Saccharomyces cerevisiae S288C: one gene and its partners. The protein of the gene in region 3 interacts with the protein of the main gene of each other region in a biochemical or structural test. Each region holds a gene or a part of one and is shown on either strand. Other genes may lie near its edges.

Region 1 (6,982 bases), 320 kb from region 3:
AATCCGGTAAGCTTGTTTTGAGATTCCATAAAGGCAATGAAGTCATATACCAGCTCTCTTGTCAAGCAAATACTTCCAAACGACATAAGTAAAGAGGTAAATGGTAAGAAATTCAGAAAGGCATCAATAGGAGTATAGAGGTAAATAAAATGTATGAACTCGTAAAGACTCCAATATTTTAACAGTGATTTATAAATGGTGATGACAACTGGGGACTGACCCAAAGAAGTAGCGGTTTTAGCAGCACTTGCCTTTGAGAAGTCAACGGAAGACGTCAGATAGACCACTTCTAATGTCAGCTGCAAAGGAATGGCAACTGAGGTAAGCAAAAATAAGGGCCATAAAATTAAATTAAACATTAGTTTTCTATGGTGGAGTGAAGCACAGCAGAAAGAACGTTAGGAACCTTAGCTAAAAGATAGAAAAAAAGAGCACTACAAAAATCTTATCCTCGATTTGAAATACTAATGTCGAGCCAGATCAAATTAAATGAAATCGAAATGATATAACGTTGCTCTTGCACGTGTATTTCGCTGCTTAGGAAAGTTGTTTCCACATATTATCTTTTGTACGATTTTAAACAGTAAAATCGATGCATATTAAGGGAGGCCCAATACCCGCGGGCAGTAACCGCATCTTTGGAAATACCGGGTAATAATAAATGCCCGGGAAAAAAGAGCATAAAACAGAGAGGCGATATAGGAATGAATATGTGCTATTTACGGAAGGGAAAAACACTTATTGTTTTTCTGAAATGTGACACAGTAAAGTCCGTCATATACGGTTCTCCGTTGGGCGCTACCACACACATATATATAAGCCTGAATGCAGTAGACAAATTTCAGATATCATACAAAGGAAGCGTTCTCTGGGACCCCTTTCTATGTTTAGATGGTTCACTGAACTTGTTCGTTAACGTAAATATGTCTTCCTCTTTGATTCCAACAATGATATTATAAGGAAATTATCGTCACAATCTAATCAACAAGGACAAAGAAAAGAAAAAGTTGAGAGAGAGAACAAAAGTTCAAATCAAAGAAAAAAAAGAACATCAAATTACCTATTACAATAAACAATTAAGCCATACTCGCAACAATTTGCCATAATAGAAAGCAGCACCTCGTTGGCGCAGTCCCTTACATAGTACACAACATTTATCACTTCACACAATCAGGAGTGGAACTCAATGGAAAACAACACCACACGTATGATCTTACTAATAAAAGAACATGAACGTTCCTCAGCGCGAACGTTCGCATTCTGCGCCTTCGAGCACAGGATAAGTTGCAGGAAGCCATCACATCTATGCAACGATTATCACGACACAACCTTGCCGCCGAGAAAACGTCCGTGGAGAACCATTCGGTCGATTGCTTCCCACGGAACGAGTGGACTGAAACTTAAGACTGCCCCTCTCTTTCCGCGGAATCGCTCATGCCGCGGTGCCACAACATTTTCAGATTTACTAAGACTCCGGTGAGTGTGGGCTCACCCGCGGGTCGTGATCACGATTCAGCACCCTTTGGACTCGTGATTCCGTGGAAAGGTCAGATCTGTATTCCTACTTATGGTAATGTGCTAAAAAAAGAGAAATGTCTCCGCGGAACTCTTCTACGCCGTGGTACGATATCTGTTGAACGTAATCTGAGCAATACAAACAAGGCCTCTCCTATACATATATAATTGTGATGTGCATAACCTTATGGCTGTTCGCTTTTATTATCATACCTTAGAATGAAATCCAAAAGAAAAAAGTCACGCAAAGTTGCAAACATATAACAACTGTGTTAGTTATCACTCGACTTTGTTATTCTAATTATAAATAAATTGGCAACTAGGAACTTTCGAAAAAGAAATTAAAGACCCTTTTAAGTTTTCGTATCCGCTCGTTCGAAAGACTTTAGACAAAAATGCCCGAGGCCAAGCTTAACAATAACGTCAACGACGTTACTAGCTACTCCTCCGCGTCTTCTTCTACTGAAAACGCTGCTGATCTACACAATTATAATGGGTTCGATGAGCATACAGAAGCTCGAATCCAAAAACTGGCAAGGACTCTGACCGCACAGAGTATGCAAAACTCCACTCAATCGGCACCCAACAAAAGTGATGCTCAGTCTATATTTTCTAGCGGTGTGGAAGGTGTAAACCCGATATTCTCTGATCCTGAAGCTCCAGGCTATGACCCAAAATTGGACCCCAACTCCGAAAATTTTTCTAGTGCCGCCTGGGTTAAGAATATGGCTCACCTAAGTGCGGCAGACCCTGACTTTTATAAGCCTTATTCCTTAGGTTGCGCTTGGAAGAACTTAAGTGCTTCTGGTGCTTCCGCAGATGTCGCCTATCAGTCAACTGTGGTTAATATTCCATACAAAATCCTAAAAAGTGGGCTGAGAAAGTTTCAACGTTCTAAAGAAACCAATACTTTCCAAATCTTGAAACCAATGGATGGTTGCCTAAACCCAGGTGAATTGCTAGTCGTTTTAGGTAGACCAGGCTCTGGCTGTACTACTTTATTAAAATCCATCTCTTCAAATACTCATGGTTTTGATCTTGGTGCAGATACTAAAATTTCTTACAGCGGCTACTCAGGTGATGATATTAAGAAACATTTTCGTGGTGAAGTTGTTTACAACGCAGAAGCTGATGTACATCTGCCTCATTTAACAGTCTTCGAAACTTTGGTTACAGTAGCGAGGTTGAAAACCCCACAGAACCGTATCAAGGGTGTCGATAGGGAAAGTTATGCGAATCATTTGGCGGAAGTAGCAATGGCAACGTACGGTTTATCGCATACAAGGAATACAAAAGTTGGTAACGACATCGTCAGAGGTGTTTCCGGTGGTGAAAGGAAGCGTGTCTCCATTGCTGAAGTCTCCATCTGTGGATCCAAATTTCAATGCTGGGATAATGCTACAAGGGGTTTGGATTCCGCTACCGCTTTGGAATTTATTCGTGCCTTAAAGACTCAAGCTGATATTTCCAATACATCTGCCACAGTGGCCATCTATCAATGTTCTCAAGATGCGTACGACTTGTTCAATAAAGTCTGTGTTTTGGATGATGGTTATCAGATCTACTATGGCCCCGCCGATAAGGCCAAGAAGTACTTTGAAGATATGGGGTATGTTTGTCCAAGCAGACAAACCACCGCAGATTTTTTGACCTCAGTTACAAGTCCCTCTGAGAGAACCCTGAACAAAGATATGCTAAAAAAAGGTATTCATATACCACAGACCCCGAAGGAAATGAACGATTACTGGGTAAAATCTCCAAATTACAAAGAGCTAATGAAAGAAGTCGACCAACGATTATTGAATGACGATGAAGCAAGCCGTGAAGCTATTAAGGAAGCCCACATTGCTAAGCAGTCCAAGAGAGCAAGACCTTCCTCTCCTTATACTGTCAGCTACATGATGCAAGTTAAATACCTATTAATCAGAAATATGTGGAGACTGCGAAATAATATCGGGTTTACATTATTTATGATTTTGGGTAACTGTAGTATGGCTTTAATCTTGGGTTCAATGTTTTTCAAGATCATGAAAAAGGGTGATACTTCTACATTCTATTTCCGTGGTTCTGCTATGTTTTTTGCAATTCTATTCAATGCATTTTCTTCTCTGTTAGAAATCTTTTCGTTATATGAGGCCAGACCAATCACTGAAAAACATAGAACATATTCGTTATACCATCCAAGTGCTGACGCTTTTGCATCAGTTCTATCAGAAATACCCTCAAAGTTAATCATCGCTGTTTGCTTCAATATAATCTTCTATTTCTTAGTAGACTTTAGAAGAAATGGTGGTGTATTCTTTTTCTACTTATTAATAAACATTGTCGCGGTTTTCTCCATGTCTCACTTGTTTAGATGTGTTGGTTCCTTAACAAAGACATTGTCAGAAGCTATGGTTCCCGCTTCTATGTTATTGTTGGCTCTATCCATGTATACCGGTTTTGCTATTCCTAAGAAGAAGATCCTACGTTGGTCTAAATGGATTTGGTATATCAATCCGTTGGCTTACTTATTCGAATCTTTGTTAATTAACGAGTTTCATGGTATAAAATTCCCCTGCGCTGAATATGTTCCTCGTGGTCCTGCGTATGCAAACATTTCTAGTACAGAATCTGTTTGTACCGTGGTTGGAGCTGTTCCAGGCCAAGACTATGTTCTGGGTGATGATTTCATTAGAGGAACTTATCAATACTACCACAAAGACAAATGGCGTGGTTTCGGTATTGGTATGGCTTATGTCGTCTTCTTTTTCTTTGTCTATCTATTCTTATGTGAATACAACGAGGGTGCTAAACAAAAAGGTGAAATATTAGTTTTCCCACGCAGTATAGTTAAAAGAATGAAGAAAAGAGGTGTACTAACTGAAAAGAATGCAAATGACCCCGAAAACGTTGGGGAACGTAGTGACTTATCCAGCGATAGGAAAATGCTACAAGAAAGCTCTGAAGAGGAATCCGATACTTACGGAGAAATTGGTTTATCCAAGTCAGAGGCTATATTTCACTGGAGAAACCTTTGTTACGAAGTTCAGATTAAGGCCGAAACAAGACGTATTTTGAACAATGTTGATGGTTGGGTTAAACCAGGTACTTTAACAGCTTTAATGGGTGCTTCAGGTGCTGGTAAAACCACACTTCTGGATTGTTTGGCCGAAAGGGTTACCATGGGTGTTATAACTGGTGATATCTTGGTCAATGGTATTCCCCGTGATAAATCTTTCCCAAGATCCATTGGTTATTGTCAGCAACAAGATTTGCATTTGAAAACTGCCACTGTGAGGGAGTCATTGAGATTTTCTGCTTACCTACGTCAACCAGCTGAAGTTTCCATTGAAGAAAAGAACAGATATGTTGAAGAAGTTATTAAAATTCTTGAAATGGAAAAATATGCTGATGCTGTTGTTGGTGTTGCTGGTGAAGGTTTAAACGTTGAACAAAGAAAAAGATTAACCATTGGTGTTGAATTAACTGCCAAACCAAAACTGTTGGTCTTTTTAGATGAACCTACTTCTGGTTTGGATTCTCAAACTGCTTGGTCTATTTGTCAGCTAATGAAAAAGTTGGCAAATCATGGTCAAGCAATTCTATGTACTATTCACCAACCCTCTGCTATTTTGATGCAAGAATTCGATCGTTTACTATTTATGCAACGTGGTGGTAAGACTGTCTACTTTGGCGACTTGGGCGAAGGTTGTAAAACTATGATCGATTATTTTGAAAGCCATGGTGCTCATAAATGCCCTGCTGACGCCAACCCAGCTGAATGGATGCTAGAAGTTGTTGGTGCAGCTCCAGGCTCTCATGCAAATCAAGATTATTACGAAGTTTGGAGGAATTCTGAAGAGTACAGGGCCGTTCAATCTGAATTAGATTGGATGGAAAGAGAATTACCAAAGAAAGGTTCGATAACTGCAGCTGAGGACAAACACGAATTTTCACAATCAATTATTTATCAAACAAAATTGGTCAGTATTCGTCTATTCCAGCAATATTGGAGATCTCCAGATTATTTATGGTCGAAGTTTATTTTAACTATTTTCAATCAATTGTTCATCGGTTTCACTTTCTTCAAAGCAGGAACCTCGCTACAGGGTTTACAAAATCAAATGTTGGCTGTGTTCATGTTTACGGTTATTTTCAATCCTATTCTACAACAATACCTACCATCTTTTGTCCAGCAAAGAGATTTGTATGAGGCCAGGGAACGCCCCTCAAGGACTTTTTCTTGGATTTCATTTATCTTCGCTCAAATATTCGTGGAAGTTCCATGGAATATATTGGCAGGTACTATTGCTTATTTTATCTACTATTATCCAATTGGATTTTACTCCAACGCGTCTGCAGCTGGCCAGTTGCATGAAAGGGGTGCTTTATTTTGGTTGTTCTCTTGTGCTTTCTACGTTTATGTTGGTTCTATGGGTCTGCTTGTCATTTCATTCAACCAAGTTGCAGAAAGTGCAGCTAACTTAGCCTCTTTGTTGTTTACAATGTCTTTGTCTTTTTGTGGTGTTATGACTACCCCAAGTGCCATGCCTAGATTTTGGATATTCATGTACAGGGTTTCACCTTTGACTTATTTCATTCAGGCTCTGTTGGCTGTTGGTGTTGCTAACGTAGACGTCAAATGCGCTGATTACGAATTGCTAGAATTCACACCACCATCCGGTATGACATGTGGGCAGTACATGGAACCATATTTACAACTAGCAAAGACTGGTTACTTAACTGATGAAAATGCCACTGACACCTGTAGTTTCTGTCAAATATCTACAACCAATGATTACTTAGCTAATGTCAATTCTTTCTACAGTGAGAGATGGAGAAATTATGGTATCTTCATCTGTTATATTGCATTCAATTATATCGCTGGTGTCTTTTTCTACTGGTTAGCAAGAGTGCCTAAAAAGAACGGTAAACTCTCCAAGAAATAATAGAATTTTGAATTTGGTTAAGAAAAGAAACTTACCAAGATGGACTTTTTTAATAAACATACATAATCACTACATATAGGTGCGTAATAATAAGTTTTTATTTTTTTTTTCTTAATTCAGCGAGCTTTCTACATTTCAATTTTCTTGAATTTACCAGCTCTGATAAATCAAAGTTCAATGTCCGAAAGAATTCCGAGAATTTTATTCCTAGGTTATCTCATCGGTACTTTTTTTTTATAGGCATCAGCATTTAGTGTGAAAACATTATTTCTTAACTGTGCCTTACGGTTAAAAAGAAAGGACGCAATGGATATAGTTAAAATATAAGATATATTATATCATTATCTGTCCGAATGGCGAACCGTCTTCTCATATACGGCCTTATTTTGTGGGTAAGTATAATCGGATCTTTTGCATTAGATAGGAACAAAACTGCTCAAAATGCGAAGATTGGTCTACATGATACCACTGTGATCACGACTGGAAGTACAACGAACGTGCAGAAAGAACATTCCTCACCACTATCCACCGGTTCT
Region 2 (2,946 bases), on a different chromosome or scaffold from region 3:
TCAATCAAGTGCCGATGCAAGTCCTGTCATTGTTTCCAAAAGAGTGTCAGAGATTCTCAAAAACGACGTACTGTACGGCTTGGAAGAGTTTTTCAAATCCAAAGATTTCCATAATGATATAGTATTGGCCACAGAAAATTTGAGGTATGCATCCGATGGAATAGCTAAGATAACAGGACAAGCTATTGGTATTGAGGAAATCTTAGATTCAGTGTTCAGCAAATTTTGTATAGGAAAATAACCTAGTTACAATCATCGTGTATATAAATAAAAGAAAATTGATTAACGCTTCGGTACAGAGAGGTGAGAGTAGAGGGGCCCCTGATTATACACCAACGAAATGGAAATGGTTTGAATTCCTGAAAAGCCAGGAAGACATTGAGATTTTAACATATTTATTATGTGACATTTGCTTTCTTTTAGATGGTAGATATGCTTATTTATGTATATAGAGAACAGTTAAAAGGAAGACCAAATGATCATTAACCTGCTACCTGCTTTCAGAATCCTAATGATTTCAAAATGGATAACTTTACCTGTCTCTCAAATTCAGGTCTATTATCTCTCCACAAGATGCAAGCATCAATGTTGGCACCACTTTCGATATTGGGCTCACTCAACATGCTCATAACACTTAATAGAATTTTTTCTACACTTTGCACTGGCGACCATCTTTCTTCCGCTAATTCGTACATGTTAGGATCATCACCAGGGGAGTGTAGAATGGATATGCACACTTCCCCATTTGGATAAATATTTGGATGTAGTATGCTGGGTGTGAAAGTAAGTTTAGGTGGAGATAACGGATAGTCTTTAGGAAACTCTAGCTTAGCATTAAAAACACCATCAGCGTATGGCGTATCTGGAGGCCCTTGAATTAGGCAGTCCCAAATGAATATGTTATTCTCCGATTTGGGACCAGCCACTATACCAGGTGGAGAATCTTTAATTAACTGTTGAAGCTCCTTGAGGAGACGTTTCTGAGCGGTTTTCGACATGCTATGCCCTTCCAAATTACACTATTACTAGGGAAGTTCCTTTTAGGATAATCTCCTTCGTACGCTAAACGCCAGAGTTTACTTTGGCGCTTTTCGAGCTCTTGGTTTAGAGGCTGTAATCTCGTTTTCGGGTAATGGCGAAAAGGAGTTATAAGAAGGATCTCGAGACAATAAGCTGCTGCATCTTCGTGAGGTAGATGCGATGAGGCGCCTTGTTTTAAACTTGAAACAGTCTGGTAAGTTCTTCAAGCTCTATCAGAGATGATAATATTTAATGGGAACAAATATGCGTGTGCATCGTGCATCAGAGGGCATCGCTCTTCAACATGCAGGCATTCTCACCGAATGCTAATTAAGGTGAGAACTAGAGGAAGACCTTCACCCATGGCTATCAGAGACGCTATTTTAGTAGACTCTACATCGCAAAGTACAGAATACGAAAATGGTGCACAAATTGAAGGTGACTGCTGCAGCGCAATGAATCAACAGCCAATACTGTTTGTACGTGCCTCTGCTGTTAGAAAGGCAAGAATGATAAACGGAAAATTGCATATATTAATGGAGGAAGGTTTCACTGCTCATGAGCCTAAAGATATTAGCACATTTACCGATGATGGTAACAAATATATCACCGAAACGGAGTTTCTTAGGAAACACTCTCCCAAAGCTCCGGCAACAGGAACAATATCTCCGGACTCTACCAAGTCATCTTCTTCAAGTGAGAAGAAAGAGCGAAGCCGGCTTCAACAGGAGCCTATACGACATTTTTCAAACTGCTGTAAGAAAGATAAATCACAGAACCCAGCTTCTAATGGCAAGACGAACAAGGCACCGTCTGATGACATATTTACGCCATACGGCTCCTTGGAATCTACGTCCGCTTTTAACGATATTTTACAAGAAAACTACAATAGTTCTGTTCCTGGTGCGCATGACAGTTCAGAAACACTCACCCCACAAAGTACAACAACGATTGCTGCTCCTCATTCAAGCGACGTTGCTTCGAAAGTTGAAGTCCTGACTCATAAGGGCATTTTTTTAAGCACGCAGTGCTCTTGTGAAGATGAAAGCTGCCCATGTGTTAATTGTCTAATCCATAGAAGCGAAGAGGAACTGAATTCTTATATTCAACAAAGTGGTGTTCCTTTAACCAATATTGGTGAAGCTCAAATTACTGATAAGATGATGGATTATTTGGATGATTGTAAATGCACTGACAAGGAATGCATATGTCCTCCGGATAACTGCACTTGTGATGGATGTTTTTCTCACTCTACAAATATAATTCCATTTGAAAAATTCTTTTTCTATGGAATTCTGAATGCAAGATTAACAAGGAAAACTCAAATAAAATTCAAAGGTAAATTGGTGCCGTCAAAATATTGGTGGGATTTTTTGAAGTTGCAAGTGCCATTGATGACAGATGCTCAGTTAGAATTACTTGACATTCATGCGTGGTTTCAAAAATTAGTCTCTAATTATGCACCACATCTAAGCGATGCCACCACTTCATAAAATCACGTAAATACAGATAGAAAACACATTGAGGCAACAGGAATGAAAATGCACCCTACTACTCTCTGAACCACCATATGATAATATTCCAATCTATTGTGCTTAACATTAAAATTGTTCAAACTTGGTATAAGCAACAAGTGGGAGAATTAGGTGTACCTCAAATTTTTGAAAAAGCACAGAGTGTTACTAAAAATTTTAATATGTATGTATATCCTTTTCTAGCCGTCAAAAGTGTAAGTAATTTCGAAAAAATAGATTCTATTTCAGTAAGTCAGAGATTCGAGTCGCCTCCCGTCTTCCGCTTTCCCAAGCACCATAGGCACAGCCGGCGCCGTCCATGATAGTATGTTCGCCTGCAAATCTTATGCGGGAGTCTTGACCATTAGACATTGCAACAACCATATCAACTGGATCATCTCCTGGAAAACAG
Region 3 (3,812 bases):
CTGTATTCTCTGAAGTGTTTGCCGCTGTTGTGTCTTGCCTTGCAACAGCGTATGTTTACCGTTTTATATATTGCGTGGCGCGCACCCGGTGATAAGAAACATCCATGTGATAAAACTCCGCACGTTGCTTGATTAATTAACCTCGGAGGTGTTACCCGCAATCAATATGTCTGCCAGCCGCCCGCCCGCCCCGGAGAAAAGAGCTTAGGACAAGAATCACTGTCTCTTACCTTGGAATCAGGGCAGGTCCGCACAAGCGGTAGTAAGCACATACCTAAAATAGCAGTATTCTTCTTTCTTTAGAGAACGTTAGACTCAATTGAAAAGGTTTACTGAATGCATCCATGCTAGATTAGCACACAGTAACTTTACGCCCGTAACTTACTACTCGTAGAACTGGCCGCTGGTGTTCCGTAACCCGCCGCGCTCGCTCCGTGCACGAAAACAACAAAACAAAAAAAACAACAAATAAAGCATACAGCTCTATTTAACAGCTGAACTATTATCCAGTGTAATAGAGTCACAACCCCCAACTAAAAAACACTGCGGACTCTATTATACTTCAGTCGGAAAAAATATCGTTAAATTCAATTTCGCACTATAGCCGCACGTAAAAATAACTTAACATAATGTCAGGAAAAGCTCATGGAGGTAAAGGTAAATCCGGCGCTAAAGACAGTGGTTCATTGAGATCTCAATCTTCTTCAGCAAGGGCTGGCTTGCAGTTTCCTGTCGGTAGGATTAAGCGTTACCTGAAAAGGCACGCTACCGGCCGAACAAGAGTAGGATCCAAAGCTGCCATTTATTTGACTGCTGTGTTGGAATATTTGACTGCTGAAGTGCTGGAGTTGGCTGGTAATGCAGCCAAGGATCTTAAAGTCAAGAGGATTACCCCAAGACATCTGCAATTGGCCATTAGAGGTGACGATGAGTTAGATTCTTTGATCAGGGCTACAATTGCTTCAGGTGGTGTTTTGCCTCATATAAATAAAGCATTATTATTGAAAGTGGAAAAAAAGGGAAGTAAGAAATAAGAAGAATAGTTTTTCTTTCCCATTTCCCGTAATTCTCCCTGCTCCTGTATCCTCATTCTATCCATATTAACGTCTGTATCATTATTATAAGTTGAAATTTGTCTCTCCGTACCCGAGTTATATACATACATATATGTAATCTATCTCTCCTTTCACGTCTAATCTCTTATGTTTTTACTATAATATATAGCATGAAAATATACTCTCACACAATATTCCCAACGATAGCGCAGTAGCCGTTATGTACGCAGAAATTTGGTCAGGGCTTTCTTTTTGTTGAACTTTGCATACCCGGAAAAATGGAAATTAAGGACACCTACAAAAGTACACTGTAGAAATCAAATCAAAGAAAAGGTTTAATAGACGATAAATTTCCATACGTGCCGACAGGACAAAAAAAAAACCCCCCTACCATTTCTAATAACAGCTTCACCACTAGTTATACTGTCGACTTTCTACCGATTTGTTGGTTCCTTTTTATAACCAGAAAATCATCTATCAATTGCAATTTGTAAGAGAAGGGGAGAAAGACAAAATAATAATATGGTGCCAGAAAATAGAAGGAAACAGTTGGCAATTTTTGTAGTTGTCACATATTTGCTCACATTTTATTGCGTGTATTCAGCCACCAAGACAAGCGTTTCCTTTTTGCAAGTAACACTGAAGCTAAATGAAGGCTTCAATCTAATGGTTTTGTCGATATTCATCTTATTAAATTCTACCTTACTATGGCAACTCCTAACGAAACTATTATTTGGTGAACTGAGGCTTATTGAGCATGAGCACATTTTTGAAAGGTTACCATTTACCATTATAAACACCTTGTTTATGTCCTCACTGTTCCACGAACGGTATTTTTTCACAGTGGCATTTTTTGGACTATTACTACTCTATCTGAAAGTTTTCCATTGGATTTTAAAGGATAGGCTGGAGGCCTTATTACAGTCAATAAATGATTCCACCACAATGAAAACCCTTATCTTTAGTAGATTCTCATTTAACCTCGTACTATTGGCGGTTGTAGACTACCAGATAATAACACGATGCATCTCCTCCATATATACAAACCAAAAGAGTGATATTGAATCCACATCCCTTTACCTGATACAAGTAATGGAGTTTACCATGCTTTTGATTGATTTGCTAAATTTATTCCTACAGACTTGTTTGAATTTCTGGGAATTTTATCGCTCACAACAAAGTCTGTCTAATGAGAACAACCATATTGTCCATGGCGATCCTACAGATGAAAACACGGTTGAGTCTGATCAATCTCAGCCAGTGCTGAATGACGACGACGATGACGACGATGATGATAGACAATTTACCGGCCTGGAGGGTAAATTCATGTATGAAAAAGCAATTGACGTATTCACAAGATTCTTAAAAACGGCACTTCATTTGTCTATGCTAATACCATTTAGGATGCCTATGATGCTTTTGAAAGATGTGGTGTGGGATATCTTGGCACTATATCAAAGTGGCACAAGTTTGTGGAAAATCTGGAGAAATAACAAACAGCTCGACGACACTCTTGTCACTGTCACCGTAGAACAGCTACAAAATTCTGCAAATGATGACAATATTTGTATCATTTGTATGGATGAGTTAATACATTCTCCAAACCAGCAGACGTGGAAGAATAAAAACAAGAAACCCAAAAGGTTACCTTGTGGCCACATACTTCATTTGTCGTGTTTAAAGAATTGGATGGAACGTTCTCAGACTTGTCCTATTTGTAGATTGCCTGTCTTTGATGAAAAAGGTAATGTTGTGCAAACGACTTTCACTTCCAATAGTGATATCACGACACAGACCACCGTAACAGATAGCACTGGGATAGCGACAGATCAACAAGGTTTCGCAAACGAAGTAGATCTACTTCCCACAAGAACAACTTCCCCTGATATAAGGATAGTGCCTACTCAAAATATAGACACATTAGCAATGAGAACAAGGTCAACCTCTACACCATCTCCTACGTGGTATACGTTCCCATTACATAAAACTGGTGATAATTCTGTTGGGTCAAGCCGATCAGCCTACGAATTTTTGATCACAAATTCAGATGAGAAAGAAAATGGTATTCCTGTCAAATTAACAATAGAAAATCACGAAGTAAATTCTCTGCATGGAGACGGGGGCGAGCAAATTGCCAAGAAAATTGTCATACCAGATAAATTTATCCAGCATATCTAGATTGCATGTTTTATATTATACATAGTTTTTTTTAAAGAAAAAAACTACTGGATGAAAAACACACACACACACACATATATATATATTATACATCAGCGGAAATTACTCGATATCTAGAAATGCGTACACATGCTACATCGATCAGCTACGTCTGACCGAATACTTTTCAATAGTAAAAAAGGGGGCGAGCTGGGAATTGAACCCAGGGCCTCTCGCATGCTTTGTCCCCCTGTTAATCAGGAAGTCGCCCAAAGCGAGAATCATACCACTAGACCACACGCCCGATCTTTTCTGAGAACCATGAAAAGACTCAGAATTTATAATACACATCATGGCCTTCCAAAGCAACTCAGCCTATGTTGAAATGTAATTCTAGTACCATCCACTTATTATTGGTATTCATGTTACTAGTATATTATCACATACGGCATAGGAAGGTGACATAATGATTAAGGAACAGCTATCACATATAAAGGAAGCAGAAATCCTAAGGTTGATAATGCAATAGGATAATAAATGATAACATATAAAATGGAAGAAGAAGTAAACATTATCATAATATGTAGATATATCGACTCT
Region 4 (4,951 bases), on a different chromosome or scaffold from region 3:
TAGTCCATCCGCTGGGGAATCTGACATCTTGATTTGAGGTGAGTACTTGTCTGTCAAGAATATTGCATTTCTTGGTTTTTCGGTGAGGCTAAGTGCCTTCCCAACTTCTGGATATGTTCTGTAGATCTCAGCAGCATCAATGTGAATAATGCCAGGTAACTTCAGAGCATAAACAATCTGTTCGACCAAACTGTTCGAAAAGGTAGCATCCGTTTCTTCGTTTTTATACCATCTAGTACCTGTCCCAATGATGGCGATTGCGGGGATTTTATTTCCATTATTCAAGGTAAAGAACTGTTGGTGAAATGACATCTGTAAAAGTGTTGTTAACTGACCTCCGTTTCTTTAGGGTAACACAACCGTTTACATGTGTATCCATATCCACGTAGTATCCGACTATCAATATATCCGTATATATATATATATATATATGGGATGAGCGTATGTGAGTGTTTTCGTAGATATTCAAAATACGAGTAAAGGAGATCCTAGGTGTGGATTAGTAAGGGGAGTGTGGCAACTTCCTTTTTCCGGTTAATTCTCCGCGCTTTCGTTAGACTATTTTGCAAGGACCCAAATAGGAGACGCATGGAGGCTTCTACAAAACAGCGTGCCGTTTTGATGGCATGAGCAGGGGGCGCAAAGGAAACACCGGTAAATCGCGCAAGACCTTGTTGGCCACGTAGCCTCAAAGGTTGAATTGACACTTGTCTACAGAACTTGAAAAGTACAAAAGGAGGTCACATAAAACAGTAAGCTTGAGAAGCTTTAAGATATGGTGCGAATCGTTACAGAATATTCCTTGCAGAAATAATGGCGGGTCCGTTCTCTTCTGAAGAAGTTACCGCCCTACTGAAGCATTGCTGTACGATCGTGTAATGTGATGTGTGTTCGACTGGAAAGCGGAGAACATTATGAAGTAAAAGGACAATCAGCACGCCTTCCAGACTTTTAAGAAACATTGATGGAGCCATTGATATCGGCACCGTACCTAACAACAACAAAAATGTCTGCTCCTGCTACGCTTGATGCTGCCTGTATTTTTTGCAAGATTATTAAAAGTATGTCACATTACTAATAAAGAGCTTACACTCACACCAATGATGGCGATAGTCTCTATGTAGTACATATACATAAAGCAGAATACTAACAATCGATCCGCTATGCAACAGGCGAAATTCCATCCTTCAAATTGATTGAAACAAAGTACTCGTATGCTTTCTTGGACATCCAACCTACTGCTGAAGGTCATGCTTTAATCATTCCTAAGTACCATGGTGCGAAGTTGCATGACATCCCGGACGAATTCCTTACCGATGCTATGCCGATTGCCAAGAGACTGGCCAAGGCAATGAAGTTGGACACTTATAATGTGTTGCAGAATAATGGTAAAATTGCGCATCAAGAAGTCGACCACGTCCACTTCCATTTGATTCCTAAGAGAGATGAGAAAAGTGGTTTGATTGTAGGGTGGCCAGCCCAAGAAACGGACTTCGATAAGTTGGGCAAGCTACACAAGGAATTGCTTGCCAAACTAGAAGGCTCCGATTAGAGTAATGCATGCTATGATTTCTTTTAGCGTTTTCTTTTCATATTTAAGTTTATACATATGGGTGTGTTTGCTTCCATTCATATCCACTCTATAATGCTAACAATCATGTTACTAGCCATCGTTGCTATCGATACCTTATGAACAGCTCTAACTCCTTCCTTTTTAACCTACCGCCTTTTGCGCACTACCCGGCAACCCCTCGAATGTGAATTCGGTGGCAAAAAAGGACATATATCAGGGCCGTGTATTTAAGAGATCCGCAGTTGATGTAGTCAATTAATCTAGTTCTATTAAGATTTGACTCAACGCCATTGACTCGATAACTGGCTCAACTACAAGACAGATATACAAATCATGGGTGAAGAACATAAACCACTTTTGGACGCCTCGGGTGTCGACCCTCGTGAGGAGGATAAAACCGCCACCGCCATTTTAAGAAGAAAGAAGAAGGACAACATGCTTTTGGTGGACGATGCTATCAATGATGACAATTCTGTCATTGCTATTAATTCTAACACCATGGACAAATTGGAATTGTTCCGTGGTGACACCGTTCTCGTTAAGGGCAAGAAGAGAAAAGATACTGTCTTAATTGTGTTGATCGATGACGAATTAGAAGACGGAGCATGCAGGATAAACCGTGTAGTTCGTAACAATTTACGTATTAGGCTGGGTGATTTAGTTACAATTCATCCTTGCCCCGATATCAAATACGCTACTAGAATTTCTGTGTTACCAATTGCTGATACGATCGAAGGTATAACTGGTAATCTTTTCGATGTTTTTTTGAAGCCTTATTTTGTGGAAGCCTACAGACCAGTGAGGAAAGGCGACCATTTTGTTGTCAGAGGCGGTATGAGACAAGTCGAATTCAAGGTTGTGGATGTCGAACCTGAAGAATATGCCGTCGTTGCTCAGGATACTATTATTCACTGGGAAGGTGAGCCAATCAACAGGGAAGATGAAGAAAATAATATGAATGAGGTGGGTTACGATGATATTGGTGGTTGTCGTAAGCAAATGGCTCAAATTAGGGAAATGGTTGAACTACCATTGAGACATCCTCAGTTGTTCAAGGCTATCGGTATCAAGCCACCAAGAGGTGTTTTGATGTATGGTCCCCCTGGTACTGGTAAAACCTTGATGGCAAGAGCTGTTGCTAATGAGACCGGTGCCTTTTTTTTCTTAATTAATGGTCCAGAAGTCATGTCAAAAATGGCTGGTGAATCAGAGTCTAACTTAAGAAAGGCCTTTGAAGAAGCCGAAAAGAACGCTCCAGCCATCATTTTTATCGATGAAATCGATTCTATAGCTCCAAAGAGAGACAAGACTAATGGTGAAGTTGAGAGAAGAGTTGTCTCTCAATTGTTAACTTTAATGGATGGTATGAAGGCAAGATCTAATGTTGTTGTCATTGCTGCTACCAATAGACCAAATTCGATTGATCCCGCTTTAAGAAGATTTGGTAGATTCGATCGTGAAGTCGACATTGGTATCCCAGATGCTACAGGTAGACTTGAAGTTCTACGTATTCACACCAAGAACATGAAGTTGGCTGATGATGTTGATTTGGAAGCATTGGCTGCTGAAACACACGGTTACGTGGGTGCTGATATTGCCTCTTTGTGTTCTGAAGCTGCCATGCAACAGATCCGTGAAAAAATGGACTTGATAGATTTAGATGAAGATGAAATTGATGCAGAGGTGCTCGATTCTTTAGGAGTCACCATGGACAACTTCAGATTCGCATTGGGCAATTCAAACCCATCTGCATTGCGTGAAACCGTTGTTGAAAGTGTCAATGTTACTTGGGATGACGTTGGTGGCCTAGATGAAATCAAGGAGGAATTGAAGGAAACTGTAGAATACCCAGTCTTACATCCAGACCAATACACAAAGTTTGGGTTATCACCATCAAAGGGTGTGTTGTTCTACGGTCCACCAGGTACAGGTAAAACTTTGTTAGCAAAAGCTGTAGCTACTGAGGTTTCTGCCAACTTTATCTCAGTCAAAGGTCCAGAATTATTGAGTATGTGGTATGGTGAATCGGAATCTAACATCCGTGATATTTTTGATAAGGCAAGAGCAGCTGCACCAACCGTCGTTTTTCTAGATGAATTAGACTCCATTGCCAAGGCAAGAGGTGGTTCCTTGGGTGATGCTGGTGGTGCTTCGGATAGAGTCGTCAACCAACTATTAACAGAAATGGATGGTATGAATGCTAAGAAAAATGTGTTCGTGATTGGTGCCACCAATAGGCCAGATCAAATTGATCCTGCTATTTTAAGACCTGGCAGATTGGATCAATTAATTTATGTTCCATTGCCAGATGAAAACGCTAGATTATCTATTCTAAATGCTCAATTAAGGAAAACACCACTAGAACCAGGGCTAGAGTTAACTGCGATTGCCAAGGCCACTCAAGGTTTCTCTGGTGCTGATTTACTCTATATTGTGCAGAGGGCTGCTAAATACGCTATCAAGGATTCTATCGAAGCTCACAGACAACACGAAGCTGAAAAGGAAGTGAAAGTAGAAGGTGAAGACGTGGAAATGACAGATGAGGGAGCAAAGGCTGAACAAGAACCAGAAGTAGATCCTGTTCCATATATTACAAAGGAGCATTTCGCAGAAGCTATGAAGACCGCTAAACGTTCTGTTTCAGATGCTGAATTGCGTCGTTATGAAGCATACTCACAGCAAATGAAAGCATCTAGAGGTCAATTCAGTAATTTCAACTTTAATGACGCTCCATTAGGTACTACGGCTACGGACAATGCTAACAGTAATAATAGTGCTCCAAGTGGAGCAGGTGCTGCATTTGGTTCTAATGCGGAGGAAGATGATGATTTGTATAGTTAGTTATATGCCAGGTATATTTTTATTTTAAATCGTAAATTCAAGTCATTTCTATAAAAAAAATCGTCAATTTTAACTCAATATTTTATGGCCCTTTTTATATTTATTTTCAAATTTGTCAAAAAAAGGAGAGCTAAATCATTAGAAAAAGAATGCATTATGGTATATTTATGTATATTAATATGTAAAATAAGAAAAAAGGGAGGCTGTAGGACCTCGGTCGTAAGAACATTTACCTGTGTTCTTCCGCCTTTTCCGAAAGTGCCATGAAGAAACGCAGGCCAGGCATAATTTCGACATTTAAAATCACGATTTGAAGTAATTTGACCAATTCGATTTCTTTACTTTTGTATCTTCTTTTATTATCTGTTTGTTTAACCCAGTTTTCAAGATCACAGGGCGCGCTTTACTAAAATTAAAAGGCTTAATTGTCGGTATTGGCCTATTTTCCTTGTTATCGTGTTTGGAGTCTATGTTGTATGTTCGCGGAGAAAACTTGTCGCTAATGTTATTGGATTCGTGTAGTTCGGGCAAAGTTCG

What was found.
Region 1: of the proteins of HRD1 (region 3) and PDR5, one has a biochemical effect on the other in vitro, tested with the Saccharomyces cerevisiae proteins (one study listed by BioGRID).
Region 2: the proteins of HRD1 (region 3) and UBC7 form a complex in vitro, tested with the Saccharomyces cerevisiae proteins (16 studies listed by BioGRID, with this or other methods).
Region 4: the proteins of HRD1 (region 3) and CDC48 form a complex in vitro, tested with the Saccharomyces cerevisiae proteins (one study listed by BioGRID).

Annotation. Positions count from the first base shown.
Region 1 is NC_001147.6:617,930-624,911, forward strand, and holds PDR5 (ATP-binding cassette multidrug transporter PDR5), read left to right. Parts: upstream 1-1,910; coding exon 1,911-6,446; downstream 6,447-6,982. Other genes in the region: ATG40 (Atg40p), read right to left, coding at 1-359; SLP1 (Slp1p), read left to right, coding at 6,800-6,982. UniProt on the Saccharomyces cerevisiae protein: Active efflux of weakly charged organic compounds of 90 cubic Angstroms to 300 cubic Angstroms surface volume.
Region 2 is NC_001145.3:316,732-319,677, reverse strand, and holds UBC7 (E2 ubiquitin-conjugating protein UBC7), read right to left. Parts: upstream 999-2,946; coding exon 501-998; downstream 1-500. Other genes in the region: MSS1 (Mss1p), read left to right, coding at 1-241; MAC1 (Mac1p), read left to right, coding at 1,260-2,513; FMS1 (polyamine oxidase), read right to left, coding at 2,775-2,946.
Region 3 is NC_001147.6:300,801-304,612, reverse strand, and holds HRD1 (E3 ubiquitin-protein ligase HRD1), read left to right. Parts: upstream 1-1,577; coding exon 1,578-3,233; downstream 3,234-3,812. Other genes in the region: HTZ1 (histone H2AZ), read left to right, coding at 630-1,034.
Region 4 is NC_001136.10:235,620-240,570, reverse strand, and holds CDC48 (AAA family ATPase CDC48), read left to right. Parts: upstream 1-1,906; coding exon 1,907-4,414; downstream 4,415-4,951. Other genes in the region: YDL124W (aldo-keto reductase superfamily protein), read right to left, coding at 1-312; HNT1 (adenosine 5'-monophosphoramidase), read left to right, coding at 965-1,061, 1,173-1,552; cyclin PCL2, read right to left, coding at 4,718-4,951. UniProt on the Saccharomyces cerevisiae protein: ATP-dependent chaperone which probably uses the energy provided by ATP hydrolysis to generate mechanical force to unfold substrate proteins, disassemble protein complexes, and disaggregate protein aggregates.